7 linked regions of the Macaca fascicularis genome follow. The protein of the gene in region 4 purifies or fractionates together with the protein of the main gene of each other region. This does not show direct contact. Links are inferred from orthologs where the notes say so. Each region holds a gene or a part of one and is shown on either strand. Other genes may lie near its edges.

Evidence for each region.
Region 1: the proteins of ITCH (region 4) and CPSF6 purify together in Homo sapiens (affinity purification with mass spectrometry; 5 studies listed by BioGRID and IntAct, with this or other methods). This does not show direct contact. The link is inferred for Macaca fascicularis from reciprocal best matches to the Homo sapiens genes ITCH and CPSF6.
Region 2: the proteins of ITCH (region 4) and MAVS purify together in Homo sapiens (affinity purification with western blotting; 3 studies listed by BioGRID). This does not show direct contact. The link is inferred for Macaca fascicularis from reciprocal best matches to the Homo sapiens genes ITCH and MAVS.
Region 3: the proteins of ITCH (region 4) and LAPTM5 purify together in Homo sapiens (affinity purification with western blotting; 3 studies listed by BioGRID and IntAct, with this or other methods). This does not show direct contact. The link is inferred for Macaca fascicularis from reciprocal best matches to the Homo sapiens genes ITCH and LAPTM5.
Region 5: the proteins of ITCH (region 4) and USP9X purify together in Homo sapiens (affinity purification with western blotting; 3 studies listed by BioGRID, with this or other methods). This does not show direct contact. The link is inferred for Macaca fascicularis from reciprocal best matches to the Homo sapiens genes ITCH and USP9X.
Region 6: the proteins of ITCH (region 4) and SMAD7 purify together in Homo sapiens (affinity purification with western blotting; 4 studies listed by BioGRID and IntAct, with this or other methods). This does not show direct contact. The link is inferred for Macaca fascicularis from reciprocal best matches to the Homo sapiens genes ITCH and SMAD7.
Region 7: the proteins of ITCH (region 4) and AMOT purify together in Homo sapiens (affinity purification with western blotting; 3 studies listed by BioGRID). This does not show direct contact. The link is inferred for Macaca fascicularis from reciprocal best matches to the Homo sapiens genes ITCH and AMOT.

Annotation. Positions count from the first base shown.
Region 1 is NC_088385.1:76,016,297-76,019,796, forward strand, and holds part of CPSF6 (cleavage and polyadenylation specificity factor subunit 6), read left to right. Parts: intron 1-1,164; coding exon 1,165-1,374; intron 1,375-3,058; coding exon 3,059-3,162; intron 3,163-3,500. UniProt on the Homo sapiens protein: Component of the cleavage factor Im (CFIm) complex that functions as an activator of the pre-mRNA 3'-end cleavage and polyadenylation processing required for the maturation of pre-mRNA into functional mRNAs.
Region 2 is NC_088384.1:83,429,429-83,432,928, forward strand, and holds part of MAVS (mitochondrial antiviral-signaling protein), read right to left. Parts: intron 2,671-3,500; coding exon 2,496-2,670; intron 1-2,495.
Region 3 is NC_088375.1:204,258,396-204,262,496, forward strand, and holds the start of LAPTM5 (lysosomal-associated transmembrane protein 5), read left to right. Parts: upstream 1-1,301; 5' UTR 1,302-1,330; coding exon 1,331-1,417; intron 1,418-4,101. UniProt on the Homo sapiens protein: May have a special functional role during embryogenesis and in adult hematopoietic cells.
Region 4 is NC_088384.1:90,410,700-90,414,682, forward strand, and holds the start of ITCH (E3 ubiquitin-protein ligase Itchy homolog), read left to right. Parts: upstream 1-1,183; 5' UTR 1,184-1,260; intron 1,261-3,983. UniProt on the Homo sapiens protein: Acts as an Acts as an E3 ubiquitin-protein ligase which accepts ubiquitin from an E2 ubiquitin-conjugating enzyme in the form of a thioester and then directly transfers the ubiquitin to targeted substrates.
Region 5 is NC_088395.1:41,197,487-41,200,986, forward strand, and holds part of USP9X (ubiquitin carboxyl-terminal hydrolase 9X), read left to right. Parts: intron 1-812; coding exon 813-986; intron 987-3,500.
Region 6 is NC_088392.1:40,841,537-40,845,036, forward strand, and holds part of SMAD7 (mothers against decapentaplegic homolog 7), read left to right. Parts: intron 1-1,486; coding exon 1,487-2,025; 3' UTR 2,026-3,500. UniProt on the Homo sapiens protein: Antagonist of signaling by TGF-beta (transforming growth factor) type 1 receptor superfamily members; has been shown to inhibit TGF-beta (Transforming growth factor) and activin signaling by associating with their receptors thus preventing SMAD2 access.
Region 7 is NC_088395.1:119,350,243-119,354,437, reverse strand, and holds the start of AMOT (angiomotin), read left to right. Parts: upstream 1-1,395; 5' UTR 1,396-1,580; intron 1,581-2,040; exon of another isoform or gene 2,041-2,420; intron 2,421-4,195.

The sequences.
Region 1 (3,500 bases), on a different chromosome or scaffold from region 4:
CTTTACTCTTTGTTTTGTGGTCTGTTGCTTTTCTCTTGCTAATTTACTTGACTAGATAACTAAGAATTCAGGTAAGCATTAGCTCTTTGTTCACTGAGAATGATACAACTTGGAAGATAATTAATTTGGATAGTTCTACATGTATTTCATTTGTTATTTCTCTTTCCCTTGTTCATTATGATGTTTTGAATTATTTATGTGCCCATATTCTTTCCGATGCCTCAGCTCACTATGCTTTTTAAAAAAGTATTAGATTCCTCAAGGTTGGAAAACAAGATCTGAATACTATAAAACATAATAACTATTTTTCTGTGATCAAATATTAAAGATATAATGGCTTTGGATTTGGGGGTGATTTTTCTAATGTCAGTTTTTTAAAAAACTTGTCTATTTGCATTTTTATGTGTTATTACTTAAGAGTATTTCCAAGGAAAGTTTCATGTTGTTTGTCTCCATGTCTTTCTTTTTCCAAAAGAACTTATTTTTTATATTATAAGTATCAGTGGAAAAGTAGGATTCATTATATGGAAATTAACTTTAGGCTGGGTGCCGTGGCTCAAGCCTATAATCCCAGCACTTTGGGAGGCCAAGGCAGGAGGATTGTTTCAACTCAAGAGTTTGAGACTAGCCTGGGCATTGTAGCAAGACCTGGTCTCTACAAAAAATAAAAATAAAAAAGGAGATTCACTTTTTTATTTTTGAGATGAAGTCTCTCTCTGTCGCCCAGGCTGGAGCGCAGTGGCACCGTCTTGGCTCACTACAACCTCTGCCTCCCAGGTTCAAGCGATTCTCCTGCCTCAGCCTCCTGAGTACCTGGGATTACAGGCGTGAGCCATCATGCCTGGCTAATTTTTGTATTTTTACTAGAGACATGGCTTCACCATGTTGGCTAGGCTGGTCTCGAACTCCTGACCTCAAGTGATCCACCTGCCTTGGCCTCCCAAGTGTTGGGATTACAGGTATGAGCCACCATGCCCGGCAAGAAATTTACTTTTTAGGCCTGTTCAAGAATACATCTATTGCATAAAATGGAAAAAAATTGGTACTGAAATCCTTGACCTTTTTCTATCAGATTTTTAAAACAAAAAATTGAATTTGTGTTCAAATCTGTTTTAGTAGTATTTTGACTTTTGTATAATCTAGAACATTATTTCTGTATCTCAGGAAGCTGAATATGGTGGGCATGATCAGATAGATTTGTATGACGATGTCATATCTCCATCTGCAAATAATGGAGATGCCCCAGAAGACCGGGATTACATGGATACTCTCCCACCAACAGTTGGTGATGATGTCGGTAAAGGAGCGGCACCAAATGTTGTCTATACGTATACTGGAAAGAGGATTGCATTATATATTGGAAATCTAACATGGGTGAGTGAAGTTAATATATGAATTAAATTATTGGTAATTGATTTTGAACTGTTCTAGTAATTAATGTTTTTCTCCAGATTTTTATAAGTTTGAAGTTACTGTGTTTGTTTTTCTATACGTGTTTGCTTGTCCAGTGAGGAGGGAAATACAGATATCTTTGCAACATCATTAATTCCAATTCTTCTAGTTTTGAGTTTTGTGGTCGTTCAGCTTTTCTTGGTGGAGATACTAGTTAAATATAGTTAAATTAGTTTTGTCTTCAGTTACCTTTTTTATGCTACCACTTTACCTTGCTTCAGATAGCCTAATTTCACTAAAAATAATGCTCACATGGGGTCTCAAACCAGGATTCAAGTGTAAAAGGCAAGAGACATAGTGTCACTCCTGGTTTAAAAATAGTGTCCATTTAATTTGTATTACAAATTTGAGTTTTATTTCTGCTCTTAAATTTGAAATCTGATTTATAGAAGCACTGCTATATGTATTATATTTTAATTTGGGTTGTCATGAGACTAAGATTATTGATTTAGAGCTTCATTAAATGCACATATGTATATTTATATTTTTATTAACATTACATTTTAAATATCATTAAAATAGTTCTATAGAATTTTTGTATCTCTACTTAGTTATTATGTATACTTGAAAGTTTAAAACTTGTATATCCAGAAATCAGTAAAATTTGGCACCGTTGCATTTCCTTAATAACACTGTATTTTTAACCTTTTTATTTACATTTCTTTTTTTGGTGGGGGAGACAGAATTTGCAAAACTATCACCCAGGCTGGAGGACAGTGGTGTAATCATAGCTCACTGAAGCCTCAAATTCTTGGACTCAAGTGATCCTCCTGTGTCAGCCTCTTAAGTAGCTAGGAACACCGGCATGTGTCACTACACCTGGCTAATTAAAAAAACAACAAAAACTTGCTATATTGCTTCAGGCTGGCCTCAAATTCCTGGCCTCAAGGTATCCTCCTAACCAAGCCTGTTAAAGTGCTGGCATTATGGTGTCCAGCCTATTCACATTTCTTTTAAAACTAATTTGTAACACATCTCCCACCACCCAGTCTGAGTATTCTATAGTATTGGAAACAGTAGCAGTGTAGTTATGTAAGTATGGTTGCTAAGTAAGTATTTGGATCTTAGCTCCACCATCTATTATTAGTTTTGTCACCTTGGGCAAACTCTAACTTCTATTGTATTGTGTGTAAAATGAGGATAATAATAGGGTTTATAGGGTTGTTATAAGAGTTAAATAGTTAATACATAAAGTGTATGGTAAATATTAAATACATGTTAGTTTTTTCTTGTCTATGTTTTAATTCAAAAACAAGATGAAATTCAAAATATTTTCCTTTAATGGGAGGAAGTGAAATTGGTTTTATTCACAATTTAAAATCATAGCAATTTAAAGCTGTAAGGGACCAGAAACTCTTGAGAGTCAAATCCTATTGTAACCCCAAGGGTACTGTCTAGTTTCTGAAATATGTATCAGGGAATGAAGTTAGGTTCCCGGATGTTTTTTGTGCTGTTTAAAAATTGGAGCCTGACTGGCCGTAACTAGACTTAGATTTGCACTCAGCATTTATTTTGTATGTCCCAAATTTCCCCTTAAAAACTAAACTGGGATAATAAAAATCTTGGTTATATTTTAATGGTTAATAAGGGGAATAATATCTTGCAGTGGACAACAGATGAAGACTTAACTGAAGCAGTTCATTCTTTGGGAGTAAATGATATTTTGGAGATAAAATTTTTTGAAAATCGGGCAAACGGCCAGTCAAAGGGGTAAGATTTTTTTCTTTCTTTTTGATTTAGTAGCTAGTGATACAGTTTTTAACAAGTTAACTTTCCTGTAAGTTAATGTTAATTACGCGTGCATACAACACATGATTGTTTACATTGGAAGGAGGTTCTTGAGCAGAGATTGATACTGTTCACTTTATGTACCCTATTACCTAGCACACTAAAACCAATAGAATGGAGATGTGGACAGATCTATTTTCTAATTTTCCCAAGTTTTCTCCATCTGTGGTTGAAATGATTGTTGAAATCACAGTTTAGGAACCATTACTCTCCCTGTGATTAAGAGATGGGAGAAGATGGGCAGCTGAATACCGTGTGTT
Region 2 (3,500 bases), about 7.0 Mb from region 4:
CTCTACTAAAAATAACAAAATTAGCCAGGCGTGGAGGCGCATGCCTGTAATCCCAGCTACTCGGGAGGCTGAGGCAGGAAAATTGCTTGAACCCAGGAGGTGAAGGTTGCCATGAGCCGAGATTGCACCATTGCACTCCAGCCTGGGCAACAAGAGCGAGACTCTATCTCAAAAGAAAAAAAAAAAAAAAAAGAAAGGAATCAGGGACTACAGCGAGGCTGAGGAAGGAGAACCACTTGAACCCAGGAGGCAGAGGTTGCAGTGAGCCAAAGTCACGCCACTGCACTCCAGCCTGGGCAACTGAGCAAGACTCTGTCTCAAAAAAAAAAGAAAAAAGAAGGAATTGGGGGTTCTCCTCATGATGAAAGAGGCTTGGGTGCTCTTGGGTATACCCCCCGCCCCAGCCATAGGTCCAAAAGCTGTTCTGATGTGGGTCCACTCCTCAAGAGTGACAAGCATCACTTGGCAAGGGGGCAAGAGTGGGAGGGAGACAGCAGTTGGAGGACAAGGTAGCAAGGAAGGAGGGGGAGTGTGGAGGAGGCCTCGTAGGCCTCTAGCCACCCACACCATGTCAGCAGTCACTCTTCTCTGTCCCCAGGCATCCTGGGACCCAGTGGCTTTCTCCTCCCCATGACTGTCATTGCTCACTGACCCCTGCCCTGATGCTGCTGCCTCAGCCCCTCCCCTTTGCCACCACCCCTCATCAGGCCCTACCACAGCCATTGTATTGTATTCAGGGGGTCACTATTTTTTTCTTTTTTTTTTTTTTTTTTTTTTTTGAGGCGGAGTCTCAGTGTTGTCCAGGCTGGAGTACAATGGCACAATCTCAGTTCACTGCAACCTCCACCTCCCCAGTTTAAGCAATTCTCCTGCCTCAGCCTCCCAAGTAGCTGGGATTACAGGCTTGCACCACCACGCCCAGCTAATTTTTTTGTATTTTTAGTAGAGATGGGGTTTCACCATATTGGCCAGGCTGGTCTCGAACTCCTGACCTTGTGATCTGCCTGCCTTGGCCTCCCAAAGTGCTGGGATTACAGGTGTGAGCCACTGCACCCAGCGAGGGGAATCACTATTAATCTCCACACATGAAGAGTCACATTTAAAAAGAAGGAAGGAAAAACAGGAAGAGAGTAGGGGAGGAAGGGAGGGAGGCAGGGAGGAAAAGCGAGGAAGAGAAAAAGGAAAGAAAAGTAAGCATGAGAGCCAGACGCGGTGGCTCACACCTATGATCCCAGCACTCTGGGAGGCCGATCGCTTCAGCCCAGGAGTTCGAGACCAGCCTGGGCAACATAGTGAGACCTCATCTCTAAAAAAAATTTAAAAATTAGCCAGGTATAGTTGCCCATGCCTGTAGTCCCAGCTACTCTGGAGGCTGAGGTAGAAGGATCACTTGAGCCCAGGAGGTCAAGGCTGCAGTGAGCTATGATTATACCACTGCACTCCAGCCTGGGTGACAGAGCAAGACTCTGTCTCTAAAAGGGGGGAAAAAAAAAAGGAGAAAGAGAAAGAAAAGATAAACATGGATGTCCCACAGCTATAAATGTGACCAGGGTCTCGGGGGTTACCTCTAGTTTGAAATATAAATAGGGCTGGCTTGATTTTTCTTCCCAAGTCTTTTCTTTTTTTTTTTTTTTTTTTTTGAGATGGAGTCTCGCTGTCGCCCAGGCTGGAGTGCAGTGGTGCGATCTTGGCTTACTGCAACCTCTGCCTCCCTGGTTCAAGCAATTCTCCTGCCTCAGCCTCCCGAGTAGCTGGGACAACATGCCCGGCTAATTTTTTGTATTTTTAGTAGAGACAGGGTTTCATCGTTTTAGCCAGGATGGTCTCCATCTCCTGACCTCATGACCTGCCTGCTTCAGCCTCCCAAAGTTCTGGATTACAGGCGTGACACCCCGCGCCCAGCCTCTTCCCATGTCTTGATCTCACTCAGGATCAAACTCAATCTCACCAGATCCCCTCCAAGCACTCAGAGTGGCAGGGACACTGAGAGGGACTTAAGGAATAACTGGGCAGTTGGTAGAGGGCGTTGAAGGCTCTCAAGGTAAACCAGGGGACGGGAAGAGAAGGTGGAGAGAGGGAGGATGAATGAGTAGGTGGGGGAGAAGAAATGAGGAAGGGTGGGAGGCGAACGCTACAGCAATGAAAGTTAGAGGAGACCCCATGTGCTGGGCATACAGGAAGTGCCTAGCCCAGCTCAGTACTCAACACGCATCGTCCTGCGGTATCACCCACTGCAGCCCCCCGCGGCAGATGCTGCCATGAACTTCATTTTACAGAGGAGAGGCCTGAGGCTCAGGGAAATTAAAGGACTTGGCCAAAAGGACACAGCTGGTAAGTGGCTCAGCCTGGATCTACACCCAGGTTTATCCATCGCTTCACAGTGATGAAAAAGAGGATGACAGAGAAAGGCAGGAGGTACAGGGAGAGGGGAAGGGAGAGCAGAGGCCAGGGAGCAGGCCAGGGGTCCAGGAGGAGGGCCAGGGCAGGACACTTACGAGGCTGGTAGCTCTGGTAGACACAGGCCACTTCGTCCGCGAGATCAGCTAGCTCACAGTCCCTCAGCGCCGCAATGAAGGACTCAACCCAGCCGGGCCGCCGCTGAAGGGTACTGAAGAGATGCCAGAGGGTGTCCCGGTTCCCTGAGAGTGTGCAGGTGGCCCGCAGTCGATCCTGGAAGACACAATGCCACTGTCCGGCTCAAGCCAGGCGGCCCCAGCCACTTACCCACCCAGAATGAAGCCACAGCAGGGGGGTGGGGCGCCAAGAAAGCCAGAAGAGCAAGGTGGCCACCTGAAACTGAATCAGAGCCCAGGACAGGGCCAGGTATGGAGTGAGGAAGAGCAATTAGCAGCCACATCAATAAAGGCAGCTGCTGGAAACTGACAATTAAGTATGTCCTGGACTCTCCATTAAGGGCTTTGCATGTATCATCTTATTTAATGCCATTATTATCCCCACTATACTAATAAGGAAACTGAGGCTTAGCAGAAGCAAAGTACTATAGCAAAGATCCTACAATAGTGGGGCAGGAATCCAAACCCAGTTAATCTGATACAAAAGCCTTGGATTTATATGGCCCCCAGGGCAAAAAGAAAGGTTTGGATTAGGAGAGAAGGAAAAGGTAAATAGCAAAAGTATGATGAAAGGGGCAAAAGAAGGAAAGGGAGGGGGCCGACAATAAGAAACAAGGAAGCTGAGAGTGCTGGGGAGATTCTGGGCAGATGACAGTGGCTGCAGTTTTTTTTCTTTTTTCGAGACTGAGTCCCGCTCCGTCGCCCAGGCTGGAGTGCAGTGGCACGATCTCACCTTACTGCAACCTCTGCCTCCTGGGTTCAAGCTATTCTCCTGCCTCGGTCTCCCGAGTAGCTGGGATTATAGGTGCCCACCACCACACCCGGCTAATTTTTTTGTATTTTTAGTAGGGACGTGGTTTCCCCATGTTAGACAGGCTGGTCTCAAACTCCTGACCTCAGGTGATCCGCCCACCTTGGCCTCCCAAA
Region 3 (4,101 bases), on a different chromosome or scaffold from region 4:
GTTTGATCAAGTCCACCAACCAAGTTTTGTGGGTCTAACAGTGCAACTTCTGCCAAGTGGGAGGAGCTTAGGGACTTTTTATAACCTCTCCTGGGGCAGACATGATGGGCTGCAGCAGTGTCCAATCCTAACTCCACGATCTCCTGGGAGGGCAGGGCTTCATGGCAGTTCCTGTCTGCTCTCCACTAGAAGCTTGGCATTGCAAAGGGGCTCAGTTGTGGGACAAAGCAGGGCTTCTTCCAGAAAAGTTGCATCTACTTCCTATTCCCTTTCTTTATTGAAATATGGATAACTTATCATCTGAGGAGGGAGTAGAGATCCCAAGGTAGTTTGCCGAATAGTTGTGCTTATTAATTCCAACTTTTCCCAAGATCAAGGGGAAAAGCAATCCCTGATTTTGTGTGAGTATGGGGGAGGGGTCTCGAGGTCCTGAAAATGAGGTTTGGGTCTCGCAGATTGCTGTGAAGAGTTATTGACCCAGCTAGAAGAGAAGCCTAGCTCAGGGCCTGGCCCACAGTTGATGGGTTTGCTTAGTGGTTATTCTTCCGTTCTTGTCTGGAGCCCTGCATGCCTCTTCATAGCTTAGGAAGAACATGCTTCTCCCTGTGGCTCAGGGTGAGGAAGTGGGAGAGAATGCCAGCTCCAGGGAGGCTTCTAGCACCAGTCAGCCTCAGTTAAAATCCTTGTACCTTCATTGACTAGCTGTGTGACCTTGCACAAATCATTTCCCCTCTGTGCCTCAGTTTCTTCATCTGTAAAATGGGGATCATCATAGTACCTCCCTCAAAGGGTTGAGGTGAGGATGAAAGGAGTGAATCCGGAGCATGCCTGGAAGAGGCAGGAAATGCCTCCTACACAACAGCTAGTTTTGCAGCCAGACAGATCTAGGTTTGAATCCTGCCACCAGTGCTAACTACTATGTGATTTGGGGCAAGTGCCTTGACCTCTCTGGACAGCTGTTTCCTCATCTGGAAACGGGTTTGGTAACAGTCCTGGCTTCCAAAGTTGGTAGTGTGCTTCTAGTAAGCAAGGTGTGTGAAATGGCAGAACCCTGGCCCTGGTGCAGAGCAGGGCCTGATGACACTGTTAGGGTCTGTCCTCCCCGGAACCCCTTCCTGGGAATGGCAGAGGGTGGTGGGGTGCTCTGAGGCAGGCTGCTGCCCTGCCCCCGCTCCCAGCTGCCCCACCCCAGCTGTGACGACCTTGTCCCTGCCTGTCTAAGGGGCAGGAAGGAAGTGAGGAGGGCAGCCAGCAGCTTCCCCTTTTCTGCCCTGCTCCAGGGACCGGGCTCTTTCCCCTTCAGTGCCTCAGAGGAGGGGACAGCAGCACCATGGATCCCCGCTTGTCCACCGTCCGCCAGACCTGCTGCTGCTTCAATGTCCGCATCGCCACCACCGCCCTGGCCATCTACCATGTGGTGAGTGTGGGGGCCCCGGGTGTGCGTGTGTGTGTGCGTGCGTGAGTGTGCGTGTCTGCGGTGACCCCTCATCTACGGAGCCCCCCGCAACTGAAAGAGCTCCTGCTCTCCACCTCTCGGGGGGATCCTGGGCAAATCCCTGTCCTGCTCTGGGCCTCAGTTTCCTCCTCTGTCAAATGGCTGGGGGGACCCGCAGGAGTGAGGAGTAAGGGAGCAGGAATCCACTTTCCAGGCAAATGTAACTGACGTTCACTCCGAGGCTGGCTCTGTTTCTGCCTCTGTGAGATGGGGCACAGCAGCGGCCGGAAGGTTATTTGTGCACAAAGCCAACAGCAGATGTGAAAGTGCTTTGGAAGTCAGGGATCTTGGAAGGAACGTGGGCTGGGATTGTTTGACCAGGATGTGAGGTCGGCCACAGACACAGCCCCGATTCTTCCCCTGGGGCCCGAATGGAGCCTGGGCCACTCAAGGGGAAAAGAAGTGGGCATCACCCCTTTGTGCTTCCAGTGGGAAGGGAGGGGCCGAGTCCTCTTAGCTTCCAGCTCAGTCAAACCACGGCCTTCTGCCTACCAAAGAGAATTGCGACCTGTGCTAATAATTAGGGTAACTTGCCCGGCCCAAGCTCCTGTTGGGCAACTTGTGAAGTCACAGCTGTCCCTGGTTCCTCCTTTCCTGGTAACTCACAGTGTGATCTCGGGCAAGTCACAGTGCCCGGGGGCCAAGGCTCCCCCTCTGCCTGGGGTGGCTGAGGGTCAGGGTCCTTGTACTGTCCTGCCTAGACCCACCTCACCCCCAAACTCCTGGCCACACCCATCTCCCCTAGACCCAGGCAACTTCCTCCTGGGGTGACTCAGGGCCTGTGGTTGGTTGACAGTTTTCTCATGAGTCTGGAAGGGCTTCCTCAAAATTAGCCTAGATCCACATGCTGCGGTGGGCTGCTGCACACTTAGACCTGCCTGCATCTGCTTCCTGTCACAGGCAGGGCAGGCAGAGCTGTGGCAAGAGCCCAGCCTTCAGGGGGGCGATGCTGTTCAGTGGTTAGCGCGCGGCCTCTGGATGCGGACTTCTGCGTGCAAATTCTGGCTTCCCTGCTTCCCAGCTGTGCAGCCTTGGGTGATTTACTTAACCTCTCTGAACCTCAGTTTTCTCATTTAAAAAAATGGGGATGTGAGTTATCGTACCCATCTGATAGGGTTTGTTGTGAGGCTCAGGGAGCTGATATATACAAAGCTTGCAGAACCATGCCTGACGCACAGGTGAGTGCCTTATCATTCATTGTGCATCAGACATGGCACCTGTTGTGAGCATCCTTGGAGTCAAGCTGTCAGATTCAAGGACTCTAGTTTTGGGAGCAGGAACTCAGAGGTTGTCCTGCCCAGCTCCTGCCAATGCAAGAGCTGAGAGAAGCATATCACTCTTTGGGTGTCCCTGTACCCTGTCTTTTAGGCCTTCAAGCTCTGAGACTATGCAGCGTTCTTGGAAGGACAGTGTGGCATGCAGGGGCATCTCACAGGTAGCAAGTCCCTGGGTCCTCACCCCAGCCCTGCCACTAACTGGCTGTGTGGACTCAGACAAGCCTTTCTCCGGGCCTCAGTTTCCTTTTTATAAAGTCAGGGGTAAGGTGATGTTGACTGGCTCAGAGGTCTCCAACTCTGATGCCTCCAGGGTCTGGGCAGGCCATGTGAGTGACAGCAGGGGGCAGATGGGCCTGCGGTGACCTGGGGAGGCCTTGCTTGTCCCACCCTGAAGCTGCTCTCTGTTTTTGCTGGTTGTTTCCACAAAAGATTGTGGGCCCTGGTGGCCACTCTTCTGATGTTTGGAGAATAGGGAGCAGGCTTTTGTGTCACATCTTCTGATGTTTCAATGCTAGTGATTGATGCACGGTAGAAAAAAATCTCTGTGCCGGCCAAGTGGAATCCATCTGCAGGCTGTGTGGGCCTAGAGGCTGCCCTGCAAACCCGGGACTGTGGGGCTGTTAAGATTTCTTGTTGATCAAGAAATGTTGATCCGATGTCCTCACCTGTAAATGGTGGTGTGATATACGGTCCCTGCTCACAGAGCTGAAGAATGTGTGGGCCCAAGCAATCATGGAAGACTTCTTGGAGGTGGTGCCATTGGCAAAAGGGAGAGTTTGGTTGTGGGCAGTATGGAAGGGGAGGAGAAATGGGTGAGCAATGGCGTATATGTTTGGCTTCTACAGGGACACAATAGAGACCAACCTGGAGTTTGGGGAGGAGGTGATAAAGGTTTTGAGTGACAAGCTAAGACTTTGGATCTTCCCTGCAGTGCACCGTTGATATTTTGGGCTGGATAATTCTTTGTCATGGGGGAGTGAATTGTGCGTTAGAGGAAGTTCAGCAGCATCCTTGATCTCTACCCACTACATACCAGTAGCACTGCCCCTCTCCCTACCCTGCCTCTTGTGATAACCAAAAATGTCTCTAGTTATGGGGCCCAGTCTCTTCCAGTTGAGAGCCAATGCCTATGAGTGATGAGATGCTCTAGAGCAGGAGCAGGCATAAGAACAGAGGGGTGTCCTGGAAGCTGTGCGTTCGGCCCAGGTTGTCTCCAGGCTGTGGTCCTCAGTTGACTCCAGTGGGGGGTTATCTTCCTGCACCCCGAAAGAGTCTTCTCTCCTTCCCAGAAAGGGCAGGGCCTGGGGGCTTTCCCATAGGCTAGCAGGT
Region 4 (3,983 bases):
TCTCAAGCAATCCATGAAGAAGGTTAAGAGAATGGACTTTCACACCAGACTGCCTGGGTTCTTATCAAGCATGTGACTTAGTTTGTACATTTGTAAAATGGGGATAATAACGGTATTTCTGGAATAGGTTTCTCGTGAGAATAAAGAGAGCTTGGTATCAGCTCTTAGAATACCGGCCATGTTGGCTCCACTAAGCTGTTATCACCATTCCTAAGCACACCCAGTTAAAAGGTAGAAAAGGGAGAATTTGAACCCAGTCAGTGTAACTCTCAAGTGTACATTTTTTTCTTTTATTTTCTTTTTAACCACAGCCTTTAATGTACATTGTTAAAGGCTAAACCAGGCCAGGTGCAGTGGCTCACATCTATAATCTCAGCGATTAGGGGGCCTGAGGAGGCAGTATCTCTTGAGCCCAGGAGTTTGAGACCAGCCTGGGCAACATGGCGAGACTGTGGCCCTGTCCCTGCCCCATCCCATCCGGACCCCACCCCATCCCCATCTCTACAAAGAATAGACAAAAATTACTCTGGTGTGGTGGTGCTCACCTGTTGTCCTAGCTACTCAGGAGGCTGAGGTAGGAGACTTGCTTGAGCCCAGGAGTGTGAGGCTCTAGTGAGCTATGACTGCACCACTGCACTCCAGCGTGGTTGACAGAGTGAGACCTTATCTCAAAAAGAAGAAAAAAAAAAAAAAGAAAAGGAAAAGAAAAAGAAAAAAGAACAACTAAGTTATAAACTAAGCTGTGTAGCACAGTGGTTCTCAAATTATTATTTCACTCACTAGTAGTATCACTAGAGAGCTTGTTAGACATGCAGATTATCAGACCCTATCCTCCTATGCCAGATCTTCTGATCAGAAACTCTGGGGGTGGGGGTCAGCACTGTAAGTTTTAATAAGCTCTCTAGGTGATTCTGATGCACACCATAGTTTGAGAATCACAGTCCTTATAGGCTCCGGTGGGCGGGGTGTTAAAAAAAAAAAAAAAAAGAAAGAAAAAAGAATGAGCCGCTCGCTCCCGTCTCACCCGGAGGTGAGGAAAACTGGGATTTAACTGGATTTACCACCGCAGCCGGCTCTTCAAGCCAGGGGCGGGCCGAACGGCTGGCGGGCAAGGCCTGCTGGGGCTTGTAGTCCAGACCACTCCCGCGCTCAGGCGCCTGCGCTTTGGCTGCTAACTCGCTCTGGTAGCTGTGGTCGGGGCTCGGGACCGGCTGCCATCTTAGTCTAGGGACTGAGGAGTCGCCGCCGCCCGGAGTCCCGGTAAACACCCGTGGGCGAGCTCGGGGCAGTTCTCGGGAGAGGGAGGGAGTCCGGATGAGAATGTTGGGGGAGAACTAGGGTAGAGGAGTGGGACGCGCGGGTCGGGACCCCAGAGCCGCGGCTGCTCTGTCTCCCAGAGCCGGTGTCTGTGGGGGGCGCGGGGAGCTCGGGCTACTGGCCCGGGCCGGGCGGTGGGGGTGGGTTATCTGGACGTTCGGAGGGATCAATGCCTGGCACAGGCTCCCGAGGCCTTCGCCTCGCGGGCTCCAAGTTGTGAAAGGGCTGGGCCACGACGGGCGTGGGTACGGTCCGGCCCCTCGCCCCTCATCCCCGCCTGGGGCCACTCTCCAGCGGTTCGGCCTACGCGCGGGGCCCGGCGGCCCGGGCCGGCGCGGGCTACGTGGCCCTGTGAGGGGCGTCGGCCGGGTCCCCCGTTACCCAGCTGTCCTTCCCGAGACTTCCGAGCCCCCAGTCGCTAGAAGGGCCCAGCCCAGCGGCTACCTCCACTTCTCTCTCCCACTCCCCTCCTCCTTCCATTGTCCCCCGGCATGGTGGTCCCGGCCCCGGCACCCTCCCCGACGCCCGCCACCGTCGTGGCGGCGCCGACTTTTGCAGACGTGGAGCTGTCACTGCCCTTCCTCCGGAGAGTGCCCTTTTCCTTAGCAGAGAAAAGTAAAAAGAGCCGTTGAACGTATTCTAAGGGTCGAAACGTGATGACATGACTTTTAAGTGGATAACTCAAGTTTTCCAAGACAGTTCCGGGCCGCGACTTAAAAGAGAGAATCGCAGGATTTGTGCGCCCAAGTAGACGCTGGGCCTAAAGTTAGTTGGACATGTAACCAGGTGAACTTGTAAAGGGCCAGGAATTCATTATCCCCAATAACAACGCAACCTTGTTTTCTTGGTTGTATTCGTATCCTAATCTTACTACATTTTCTGCCGTTCTTCCACATCTGCGATATACTTGGTTTGGAGTGGGGGATGGGGAAGTGTGAGATTTTTGCCTTGAAAATTAGTAAGACCCTGGAGCCAGCCACCTATCATTGCACTTAGTTGGGTTCTCCTGCATCTTTTCCTAATATAATTCGATCTTCAGGAAGTATGTAAAGGCAGTGTATTTCCATTCTCAAAATCGGCTAAGGAGTTATTTATCAGTTCAGGTGAAGTTCTCATGGCAGATATGGTGAGAGCTTGCTGTGTGTATTTTACAGGTTTTTTTTTTTTTTTTTTTTTTTGAGGCGGAGTCTCGCTCTGTCGCCCAGGCTGGAGTGCAGTGGCCGGATCTCAGCTCACTGCAAGCCCCGCCTCCCGGGTTCACGCCATTCTCCTGCCTCAGCCTCCCAAGTAGCTGGGAGTACAGGCGCCCGCCACCTCGCCCGGCTAATTTTTTTTTTTTTGTATTTTAGTAGAGACGGGGTTTCACCGTGTTAGCCAGGATGGTCTCGATCTCCTGACCTTGTGATACACCCGTCTCGGCCTCCCAAAGTGCTGGGATTACAAGCTTGAGCCACCGCGCCCGGCCTTTACAGGTTTATTTAAGCTATAATTTATTTTTAAAATTAAGAAATGGGCCGGGTGCTGTGGCTGACGCCTGTAATCCCAGCACTTTGGGAGGCCGAGGCGGGCAGATCACGAGGTCAGAAGTTCGAGACCATCCTGGTCAACATGGTGAAACCCTGTCTCTACTAAAAACACACACACACAAATTAGCTGGGCGTGGTGGCAGGTACCTGTAGTCCTAGCTACTAGGGAGGCTGAGGCAAGAGAATGGCTTCAGCCCAGGAGGTGGAGGCTGCAGTGAGCCCAAATCTGGTTGCTGCGCTCCAGCCTGGGTGTCAGTGGTGTCGGAGTGAGACTCCGAAAAAAAAAAAAAAAAAAAAAAACAATGGGATGGGCGTGGTGGCTCACGCCTGTAATCCCAGCACTTTTGGGAGGCCCAGGCCGGCAGATCTCTTGAGCCCAGGAATTGGAGATCAGCCTGGGCAACATAGTGAAACCCCGTCTCTACAAAAAATACAAAGATTAGCTGGGTGTGGTGGTGGGTGCCTGTGGTCCCAGATACTCAGGAGGCTGAGGTGGGGGAATCACCTGAGTCCTGGGGGTGGAGGCAATGGTGAGCTGTTACTGTGCCACTGCACTCCAGCCTTGGGTGACAGATTGAGATCCTGTCTCAAGAAAGAAAAAAAAAAATGGAAATGAAGGTGGAAATTCTACTGCTTCTTTGAACCGTGAATGTGTTTAAGTTTTGTGAGTCCAAAAGGAATTCCCTTATATTCAGCATACAAGTCAAGTCACCAAGGATATGATATGAAATTACAAAAATGAGTACAGACTACTTCAGTGTATTCTAGAATCAAACATTTCTACATTCTTTTTTAAAAAATACGTCTTTTTTTTTTTTTTTTTTGAGACGGAGTCTCGCTGTGTCTCCCAGGCTGGAGTGCAGTGGCGTGATCTCGGCTCACTGCAAGCTCCGCCTCCCGGGTTCACGCCATTCTCCCGCCTCAGCCTCCCAAGTAGCTGAGACTACAGGCACCTGCCACCACGCCCGGCTAGTTTTTTGTATTTTTAGTAGAGACGGGGTTTCACCATGTTAGCCAGGATAGTCTCGATCTCCTGACCTCGTGATCCATCCGCCTCGGCCTCCCAAAGTGCTGGGATTACAGGCTTGAGCCACCGCGCCCGGCCTTTTTTTTTTTTTTTTTTTTTAATTTGAGATGGAG
Region 5 (3,500 bases), on a different chromosome or scaffold from region 4:
TGAAAGTAAATAGAACAGACTGGTGTAATTTCTTGTAATGGAACAAGCTGATTTTTAACAATTTATTTGATTTTAAACTTACTGTATACAAATTTTTATTTGTCTAAAATATAGAAATGAGATTGCTATATAGAAAAGGTTTTACAAAAGTATCAAAAGACAGTTCTTGCATACTTTAAAATGTTTGTCATTTCTTGCTTAGAACAAATACACTTAAATTCTCTATGTACATTATTCTGTATATACAAAATCAGGTATTATTGATAGTTTCCAGCAGTGCCTGAGTTTTAGAAGTATGAGTTCTCATTTTGTGGTATGTAGTGATGGTGTCTTTTCTTAGATTATTCAAGAGATTAACTGTAAAACAAGTTAAAGCTTTCTCTCTTGGGGAAAAAAATAAATTTAAGAGTAACTAGATCTGATCTTTTTACTATTTATAATCTAAAATATAAGCAAAATGAAAGAAATAAAATAGTAATTGTAACATCCACGTAAGAGTGAGATCCACCACCTCATTCTTGGAGCCGTACTATCCATCAATTACACCACTGGTTTCGTGGCAGTTCTTTGCCGCTAGGGTACTAGTTTTAGTATGAGGCTCACTCTCTTACCCCACTACATTCTATAGGGAAAGCACATTCTTTTTTTTTTTTTTTTTTTTTTTTTACTTTTTCTGTGTGGTTGAGGAATAAAATCTCGGTTTTATATACTGTTGTTTGTGGTCCTGTTGTTTTTTTTCCCCCTGAAAAATATAGTTGTACATATTGTTCTGTGAATGTCACGTTACATGTTTTATTTCATTCATTTCTTAGGCTTTGGGGTGAGCCTGTTAATCTGCGTGAACAACACGATGCTTTAGAATTTTTTAATTCATTGGTGGATAGTTTAGATGAAGCTTTAAAAGCTTTAGGACATCCAGCTATGCTAAGTAAAGTCTTAGGAGGTTCCTTTGCTGATCAGAAGATCTGCCAAGGCTGCCCACATAGGTAAGTACTAATTACACATTGAAAGTATATGTTGTACCATGTATATACTAACAAAAATAAAATTTTTACTTGTACTTACATACAAAAGTGGAGTATGTCACTGATTACTAAATACCTGAAACAGAATGATTTATATACTGTGCATACCTTACTGCTGTGGGACTATTTTTTGTTTTTGTCAATTAATTTTTAGTTCCTTCTACTCTGCCTGATCTCTTAGCCATTTTATTATATTATACTCTTACAGTCTCCCTTCCCTTTCCTCCTTTCCTTATTCCTTTTTCTTTTCCTTTCTCTTTTTTTTTCTTTCTTTTCTGAAAGAGACAAGGTTTCTCTTTGTTTCCCAGGCTGGAGTTCAGTGGCATGATCGTAACTCATAGTAACTTTGAACTTCCGGGCTCAAGCAGTCCTACTGCCTCAGCCTCTCAAATAGCTGGGACTACAGGCATGTGCCATCACGCCTGGCTAATTTGTAAATTTTTTTAGAGATGGGATCTCTTGTTGGCCAATGGGGTCCCAAACTCCTGACCTCAAAATCAGTCCTCACACCTCAGCCACCTCAGCCTCCCAAAGTATTGAGATGACAGGTGTGAGCCACCATGCCCAGCCTACTATTACATTCTTTTACAGAATATTATTCCTGGAGAAATGAAATGGCATTTTGCATATAGCTACAGGTGTTATTTATAAATTTGCCCTTTATCTTAGAACTTGAGTGATTATAATAGTGTAAATACAGTAAGTTTAGAAGATGACAAAGCTGTGGTAGTATTTCCTATACAAATGAAATAATGACTTTTAAAATAGCATTGATTATTGTCATTGTCTTTAAGGTATATTTGTATACAAAACATACCAAACCTATTGTTAAAAAAAAGATTTTACAAGAAAAACATTGACAAAACAGATTGTTTGACTAAAAGGAAAATTGATTAAGGGCTTCTATTAGCAGTAGTTAATGAGTTCATTACTGATAAACACACATGCCTGTCATAATGGAAGTTTTACTTTGGGACTTGTTATAATATGGATTAATGTTGATTTGCAATCGTTTTTCACCAAAATGTCACAGTAAGATAGTATTTTCTACAATCCAAACTCTATTAAATATAGTCATGGGTTGAGTATACATGTGGTTTGTGGGGGTGTTTTGTTTTTGATTACCAGGAAATGATTGGGGGAGAGGTAATACTATATAAATGAGAAATTTCTAGGAAGTTATAGTCTTACCACTCATTCATAATTGGGGAATATACTTACTCACTTAGCCTAGGCAACTTTCAGTCCTTTTGAAAGGCCTTTTATATTAGGTGAACAATAAAATAAAATTTTAACCTTGTTTTTAATTAGTGATGAAAACAGCCAATTTTGGGATCATTTGTTCATGTCACTCCTCCTTAGTTTTAGACAATTTTCTAAATTATTTGGAAATCACTGGTTTTCTTTGGCAAGTGAAATGTCAGAAGATTATGGTCTTGAAATCAGATCCTTGTACCTGATCAACAGCTAAACTAGTCTTTTTTTTAACTAGCTGGGCATGGGGGTGGACGCCTGCAGTCCCAGCTGCTTGGGAGGCTGAGTCAGGAGGATCACTTGAGCCCAGGAGTTAGAAGTTCCAGTGAACTATGATCATGCCACTGCATTCCAGCCTGGGTAACAGAGCAAGACCTCACCTCATTAAAAACAAAAAAGAAAGAAATTCTACTTTGAGTGCCCATACAACCATTCTGTTTTTCACTCTCAGTACAGTATTCAATGAATTACATGAATCTTTGTGTTACAAGATTTTGCCCAACTGTAGGCTAATATAAGTGTTCTGAACACATTTAGGGTAGGCTAGGCTAAAGCTATGATGTTTGGTAGGTTAGGTGTATTAAATGCATTTTCAACTTACGATATTTTCAATTTATGATGGGTTTATTGGGCTGTAGCCATTTCATAAGCGAAGAGCATCTGTAGTTACCGCAGAGACCATATGCCTCACAAAACCTAAGATACTTACTTTCTGGCCCTTTACAGAAAGACTTTGCTGTCCTCTAGTGTTAGAACACCTTCTTTTTATAGGTGTTGAAGAATGTCCTACTTTTGAAGTGTAGTCTGAGATCTAACTTTTTTTCTTTTATGGGCTGTTCCCTGATTATATAGTAGCAATTTGCTTAATACCTGTGTTATATTTCATTCATACAATTTATAAATGCCTTTGTGTACCTTTTTTCCTGAGTTTAAAATTCCTTAAATAAGGGACTGTCTTAAACATTGAATATCCCTCAGTGCATTTACACATAGAAGGTACTCTCAGTCTATCCACTGAATGAATTAATGGTTAATATTAATGAATTAATGTATTCCTCACATCCCTTGTTTTGCATTTATGCATGTGTCTCACCAGAAATCGGAGTCTCTTTGGTAGAAAATGACCGTAAACTGGGATTCTAGCTCCTTCTCAGGTTGCTAATCCTGTACTCATTTGTGTGTTCAAACTTTTGCTTTACTAAGGCTTCCATTACAGAAAAG
Region 6 (3,500 bases), on a different chromosome or scaffold from region 4:
TTACACAGCCTGCTGGGGCAGCAGGATGCGGCCCCATCCTCCGCCGTCGACCCCCCGCAGGGTGCAACGCATCATCGTTCACTCTGAACCCAGTTACTCCAGAATACAAAGGCCACACCAAAACACATCTCACACTCAACCCCTGCTTTGTGCCCCCCAGGCTCCCGAGAGGGAGGAGCTGGGGCTGCAGGGAGCGAGGGCAAGGGCTTGACCGACATGGGGCCCTTCCCCTCTGCTTTCCCCTCTCTGCTTTCCCCCCCTCTGCTGTCCCCATTTTTGTTAACAAATACAAGACTTCCGGTCTCCACCCTGCTGCCACAAACCACAGCGTTCCTGCAGTCTGGCTGGGCTGGGGAGATTTATGGTCCCAAGTCTGAGGCCTGCCCGCTGGCTCCTGCTTAAGGAGGAGTCAGAATGCCCGCTGCCGGGGCTCCCTTTCCGTCCGTGTGACCCCCCTTTTAAAGTCCTCCAAGCGCCTGTTGAGGAAAATTACCTTACCAGAATCACCCCAGCCCCCAGGCTGCCTGTGGGAAGAGCCCTGTGTAGGGAAGCGGGGCGGGGCCTGCAGGGGAGGGATGAGGGCGGAGCAGGGCGCCCTGCAGGCTCCGGATGCTTCTGTGGAAGGAGGGGAGAGAGGGGGCACCCATGGTGACGGGGGTGCCGGCAGAGAAGGGGAACACATCTATTTGAGACACATAATCTTCTGTCTGGGCTGGAGGAAGCTTTGTTAAGGTAGCCTGGGTTAATACCGGTCTGCACGTTGTGATTTGGCATTTTGACATGAATTCACCCTTTGTGTACAGGGCTGCTGCTGACACACTGAGACTTGTTTTTCTATTAGGAATATAGACGTTTTTGTCCCAAGCCACTCTCATTTTTATTTTTACCGGATAAAGAGGTCCCTCATGACCACGGTACTGATTTGAGAGCTGGGTGACAGGCACCCAGAGACCGTCACATAGGTGGCCCCAGAGTCTAGACACCTGGGTTCTAGCTCTGGCTGTGTCATCCCCTGGTACTCCAGCAGCAGGCTGTCTGGGTCCTGGTTTTCTCATCAGGATGACAAGGGGCTGGAGGAGCTGGCCTTCAAGGTTCCATCCGGTTGAAAGATCTGTAACTCCAGTATGTCGCTGAGGCTTTTTGCGGCCCTAAAACTGGACCACCCAAGTTACTAAGGGTGTCTTTGCGCCTGTGCTCTGCAGAGAAGAGGCTTTGTTGGCCAGGTGGACACAGGTGCTGGTGTACTGGACTCCTGACAGGCAGGGGCCTGGAGAGAAGCAGCCCCCAGCGCTTCCTATGCTTAAAGAAAGGCAGGGTCCTGGTCAAAGGGCTGTAAGAGCCTGGGCAAGTCCAGGACTATCCTCACCGCCTCCTTCTTTCTGTCTCGTCCTGAGAGATGAGCTGGTGACCGGGGTGGGGGGTATCTTCATTCTAGTAGTCACCAATGCCTGTCCCCACCAACCCTCTCTGCCATTGTGTTTTCTAGATTCCCAACTTCTTCTGGAGCCTGGGGATCGGTCACACTGGTGCGTGGTGGCATACTGGGAGGAGAAGACGAGAGTGGGGAGGCTCTACTGTGTCCAGGAGCCCTCTCTGGATATCTTCTATGATCTACCTCAGGGGAATGGCTTTTGCCTCGGACAGCTCAATTCGGACAACAAGAGTCAGCTGGTGCAGAAGGTGCGGAGCAAAATCGGCTGTGGCATCCAGCTGACGCGGGAGGTGGATGGCGTGTGGGTGTACAACCGTAGCAGTTACCCCATCTTCATCAAGTCCGCCACACTGGACAACCCGGACTCCAGGACGCTGTTGGTACACAAGGTGTTCCCCGGTTTCTCCATCAAGGCTTTCGACTACGAGAAGGCGTACAGCCTGCAGCGGCCCAATGACCACGAGTTTATGCAGCAGCCGTGGACGGGCTTTACCGTGCAGATCAGCTTTGTGAAGGGCTGGGGCCAGTGCTACACCCGCCAGTTCATCAGCAGCTGCCCGTGCTGGCTAGAGGTCATCTTCAACAGCCGGTAGCCGCGTGTGGAGGGGACAGAGCGTGAGCTGAGCAGGCCACACTTCAAACTACTTTGCTGCTAATATTTTCCTCCTGAGTGCTTGCTTTTCATGCAAACTCTTTGGTCGTTTTTTTGTTTGTTTGTTGGTTGGCTGGTTGGTTTTCTTCTTCTTGTCCTCGTTTGTGTTCTGTTTTGTTTCGCTCTTTGAGAAATAGCTTATGAAAAGAATTGTTGGGGGTTTTTTGGAAGAGGGGGTGGGTATGATCGGCAGGACACCTTGATAGGAAGAGGGGAAGCAGAAATCCAAGCACCACCAAATGCAGCATATGAAGGGGGGCGGTCATCATTTCACTTGTCAGGAGTGTGTGTGTGTGTGAGTGTGAGGCTACGAGTGTGTGCACGCGTGTGCAGGAGCAGCAAATGGGGAGACGATGTGCTTTGTTTTGTGTCTCTTACGAATGTCCCCAGCAGAGAGGTTTGCAGTCCCAAGCCGTGTCTCTCGTGCTCCTTGGACATGCTCAGTGGGGCAGAGGCAGTACCTGGGCGGCAGGGGTCCCAGCAGCTGCCAGGAGCACGGCTGTGTCCCCAGCCTAGGAAAGCCCCTGCCCCTCCTCTCCCTCATCAAGGACACGGGCCTGTCCACAGGCTTCTGAGCAGCAAGCCTGCTAGTGGCTGAACCAGAATCAATTGTTTTCATCCTTGTCTTATTCCCTTCCCGTCAGCCCCTGCCATTGTAGGTCTTTCTTTTTTGGCCATCTGCTCCTGGATCTCCCTGAAATGGGCTTCCTAAGGGCTGCCGGGGCAGCCCCATCACAGTATTGCTCACCCAGTGCCCTCTCCCCTCAGCCTCTCCCCTGCCTGCCCTGGTGACATCAGGTTTTTCCCGGACTTAGAAAACCAGCTCAGCACTCCCTGCTCCCAGCCTGTGTGTTGAGCTCTGCTATTGGGCCAGCAAGCGGGGACGTCCCTGGGAGGGACATGCTTAGCAGTCCCCTTCCCTCCAAGAAGGATTTGGTCCGTCATAACCCAAGGTACCATCCCAGGCTGACACCTAACTCTTCTTTCATTTCTTCTACAACTCATACACTCGTATGATACTTTGACACTGTTCTTAGCTCAATGAGCATGTTTAGACTTTAACATAAGCTATTTTTCTAACTACAAAGGTTTAAATGAACAAGAGAAGCATTCTCATTGGAAATTTAGCATTGTAGTGCTTTGAGAGAGAAAGGACTCCTGAAAAAAAACCCTGAGATTTATTAAAGAAAAAAATGTATTTTATGTTATATATAAATATATTATTACTTGTAAATATAAAGACGTTTTATAAGCATCATTATTTATGTATTGTGCAATGTGTATAAACAAGAAAAATAAAGAAAAGATGCACTTTGCTTTAATATAAATGCAAATAACAAATGCCAAATTAAAAAAGATAAACACAAAATTGGTGTTTTTTTCTATGGGTGTTATCACCTAGCTGAATGTTTTTCT
Region 7 (4,195 bases), on a different chromosome or scaffold from region 4:
TGAAGTCAGAGTTGGATTCTGAGCCCCTATTTACTGTGTGATAGTGTTTCCTTTAAGCACACTTCCTCTTGCATGCCTTGATCCACGGCCCCCCAGATGGCTCCCATTAGGCAGGCTTGAATTGGATGTCACTCTTTCATTGGCATGAGTCATTATAATAGCCTTGCGCTGTCAAGGCCTTTACATTTAGGCTTGTTTCCTACTTGAAATGTTTTCTAGGAAATATGGATCTGTAGAGAATGGTGGTTTCCATGGTAAATGTTCCTTCATATTTGTTTTCTCAAGTTCACTTCGGAGATACACAGCATGATTTCCTCTTTCAGTACCAGAACCACAATAGCTTTAAGTTGTCATGAAACTGTTGAACGTTAAAAAAGAAATCTCACCCACCCTGCTTAGAAAAGGGGTAATTTATTATTCTAACTGCAGGGAGTCAACTTCATATCCACCCCAAAATTGTAGGAAAAGAGTTGACTTTTTAAAATAAAGCCACAAAACCTACACGACCTTGGATGTAAATGCTTAAAACAGATGAGCAGAATATTGGTCCCCTAACACATCTAAGACTCTCCATTATGTGTCATACACAAGTAGGAACACATACATATGTGGAGTGCTTTATAGTTTTCACACACATTTTCACACCAGTGTCTTTAAGTTAATAGGGCATGTCTCATAGCATTTATTTACAGGTAGAAAAATTAAGGCTGAGAAGTTAAGCCACTTAACAGAAGTCACACAATTAGCTAGCAAGTGCCAGGGCCCCAAATGAATTCTTCCTTTGGTTCCAAATTCCGTGTTATTTTGCTACGCGGACACTGTTTCTTTGTGCCTTCGTTTTCCCAGATGTAAAATGGTAGATTTTCCGTGTCCCAGGATGCTGTTCTCAGCCCTCTCTTGTTTTTAACCAATGTCAGTTTTTTTCGCAGCCAGCAGAACACCACAACGACACTTCATGTACTTTCCCCCCTCCTGATTTAATGAATTAAGGGGGAAGAAAAGTTACCTATTCGCAGAGAGCTGGACACTACCATAAACATAAAGGCGTACCAGAGTCGACCGACACACTGTTGCATTCTTTTATGAGACTGAGAAATAAAGCGTCTCATCTTTCTCTTCCCAGCAGTAGCTGGGGTAGAACACAGAACTACACAATAGCCTCTTGTTTAGTTTTATTAATTTTGAGGACGGGTGGGACAAAGGGATCAGACTGGCGACTCCAGGGCCCAATCGCAAGCGTATACTAGGCCAGGCCGGGCCAACGGGTAGCTGCAAAAGAATGGTGGGCGGGACTTACGCTTCAGGGGCCCACTCCGCCCAGGCCGGCGCTTCCAGCCCGCCCAGGGGCGGAGCCTCTGCAGAGCCCCGCCCACGACCCCTCCTCCCTCGCCCCTCAGCTTCTGCGGCCCGCCAACGGGAGCCGGGCAAGCGCCCGGGGTGGGGGAGCGGAGGAAGAAAGGAGGGTGTCTCGCAGAGCTGTGACCTCGGTGGGAGCCTGCTGGTAATAGGAAGCAAGAGGGGAAGGAAAACGAAGGAGCACTGCACTTTCCTGCATTATTTTAAGCAGTCTTTGGTGGAAGGTGCTTTTCAGCATTTCTATTATTTGTTTTTCTTCCTCCAGCAGTGGGGCGGGGAGCTGCACTGCCTCTCCCACGCGACTATGCCGCGCAGTTGCCGCAGATTATTATTGTAGTCTTTTGCAAAACCCTTTCCTTCTTCCCAGCCAGTCACGGCGCAGACTCTCACGGCTACGGCAACCGAGTCGTGCCCCTCTAGTGGGAAGGCGAGAGCGAGGGTCCCCTGCTTTCGCCGGAGCTCCCGGACCCCGCGGTTCAATTGTTTGAAACTTCCCCGCCCCCCGGCCCCGCCTCTCTTCCGCGCTCCCCCCACTCCTCACTTCCAGGGTCCAGGCAGGCTCCCGCCCTTCTTTCCCCGCCCTCTACTCCGCCTTCCTCCCTAGTCCACCCCCCCCGCCCTGCTCCGGGGCGGTCCTAGCCGCTCACCGCAAGAAGAAAAGCCACCCGTGCGTCCCCCTCCCCTACCTCCCATCCTTTGCCCAGGAGCTGCCTTGGCAGTCACGCCCCTTCCTTCCGAGGAGCTTTCTGGCTGCCTAAACTGGTAGACCCTCTGAATTACTCCTCCGTCTCCTCTCTCTTTCGCCTCCTCTTCTCTTAGTTCTCTCCGCCTCCCCCCCAACTACCACCACCTCCAGTCAGTCTCGCCTCCGACCATCCGCTGCTCCACCCTCTGGCCCGGTATCCTGCCTGTCCACTGCCACCAAGGAGAGCCCGGACGGAGCAGCGAGGAGGGGAGCAGCCGGGAGTTGGGGCTTCCCCCCTGCCCATCCCTGGCCGCTGGCCCGGGACCGAAGCCACTTGAGCGAGCAGAGAGTCGTCACCTTGTCTTCGTTGCCTTCAGGGGTAGGAGACGCGTGGTTACTTTTCGCGGGGAACTGGGGCAGGAATCCATGGTGGCATGAACTTGGTCGTGCCCTCGGCGTGAGTGAATCGATCTAGGCGCGTGTGGGAACGTCCGTGTGTTCTACTTTCTTTGCAGCTCGCCATTAGTTTTTTTGGATGTGCAGCAAGTTAAATCGGTTAGAGTGTGCGCTGCTTTCCCGTCCTACTTAGGTGAGGAGATGCTAGTGGGTACCACTACTAGTTGGTACTTTTACTTCCTTACCTCCTGGGGTTCTTGTGGGTCTCTAGGTAATTAATCACATGGAGGAGCTAAAGACCCGAGGGAAGCTGAAATCTACATTTAGCCCAGCATGCATGTCAGTGCTTATCTCAGATAACTAGATAGGTTTCTCCTAAGTGCTTAGGCTTGGGGTGGGGACTCACACTCCCTGAGGCGGGAGCAGGAGGGGTAGGACCGTGAATTCTTGAAGTTTTAAAGTCTGTGTAATCTAAAACACAAGGCTACTCTTTGAGATGTGTGGTGGTGTTTGTGGTGCCTGTGGTGGTGATAGTAATGGTGAGGAGAGAGTTGCCCCTATCTGCTTAGAAGATCCAAAGATGTTAGTAAATAGTTTTGGGGGATCAGGCAGGTGTCTTGAGGGTCCAAGCCTGGGCCACTGCACGTTGGTGCTTCGACAGTAAGATGGGCTTCATGGGTATGTGAAAATGAAGAGAAAGAAAAGTGGGAGGGAAAATAACAGTCTTCAATAGACTGTGAGCAGTTCCTGGTAAATTGCCACTAATAATAATATAATAATTTGCATAAAGGGACTAAATAGAATTAAATGAGCAAGGAAAGAGAAAGTTGGTGAGAAACAGCATTTTCAATCTCTAGTGTATGTTTTAGAACGAATTTTTCAACAACCTGGGATGTTTAGTTCAGTTATCCTCCCTCCCCGCCATGAAGAGTGGAAGTTGGGAGGCAGTTTAAAACTTTTATGAATATAACCCTCTTCTCCCATTGAGAGAGGAAGATAATTAGTCACCATAATCTTCAATGATGAAGGGCTAAGGGTATTTAAGTCTCCTTGAGCTACGCTTTGTGAAAAGTTCTTTCTCAGGCCAGCCTTTGTGAAGCCTTCTCAGTTAGACCTTTCAGCACCCTCATTTAGTAGCTAAGAATAGTTTGAAATGCCATTTTGAATGTGGTATACATTTTCATCCATCTCCCACCTATCTTCAATTGGACAAGTGCGTCAAGGTTGTAAGTGATGGTGTTCAAAGACTTATTACTGAGATGTCCTTAACCTATTGCTTATTTGGGAACACATTATTTACATACATTTAAAACTAACTTTGGTTGATTTTAATGAGGGAAAGGAAAGTAGGAAGGTAAAGAAGGAACGTTACAGGGTGACAATTTTAAAGGCTATCCTGTTTCAGATCAGCTGGGAGGGAAAAGCTGGCCTGACCAAACTACATTTTATAACTAGCCTGGGACATTTTAACAGCCAGGTGGTTGTAGAGTAGTTGCCTCTATTTACAGATGATAACTCAGGTTCCAACTATTCTGTATGGGTTTATCCGGCGTCATTGACAGACACTTTCTGGCACTACATCATACTTCATTTTAAATTACTTCTTTCCTTGGAAAAGTTTGTGACTTTGTAAAATTGAAAGTGCTTTTTCTACCTTCATGGTCTAGATGTGAAGTAAGCCTCTGACCACGATTGGATGTGGAGTCACTTTTACATGAAATTTGCAGATCTGTTTACCTATTTAAAAGATTTTAGAAA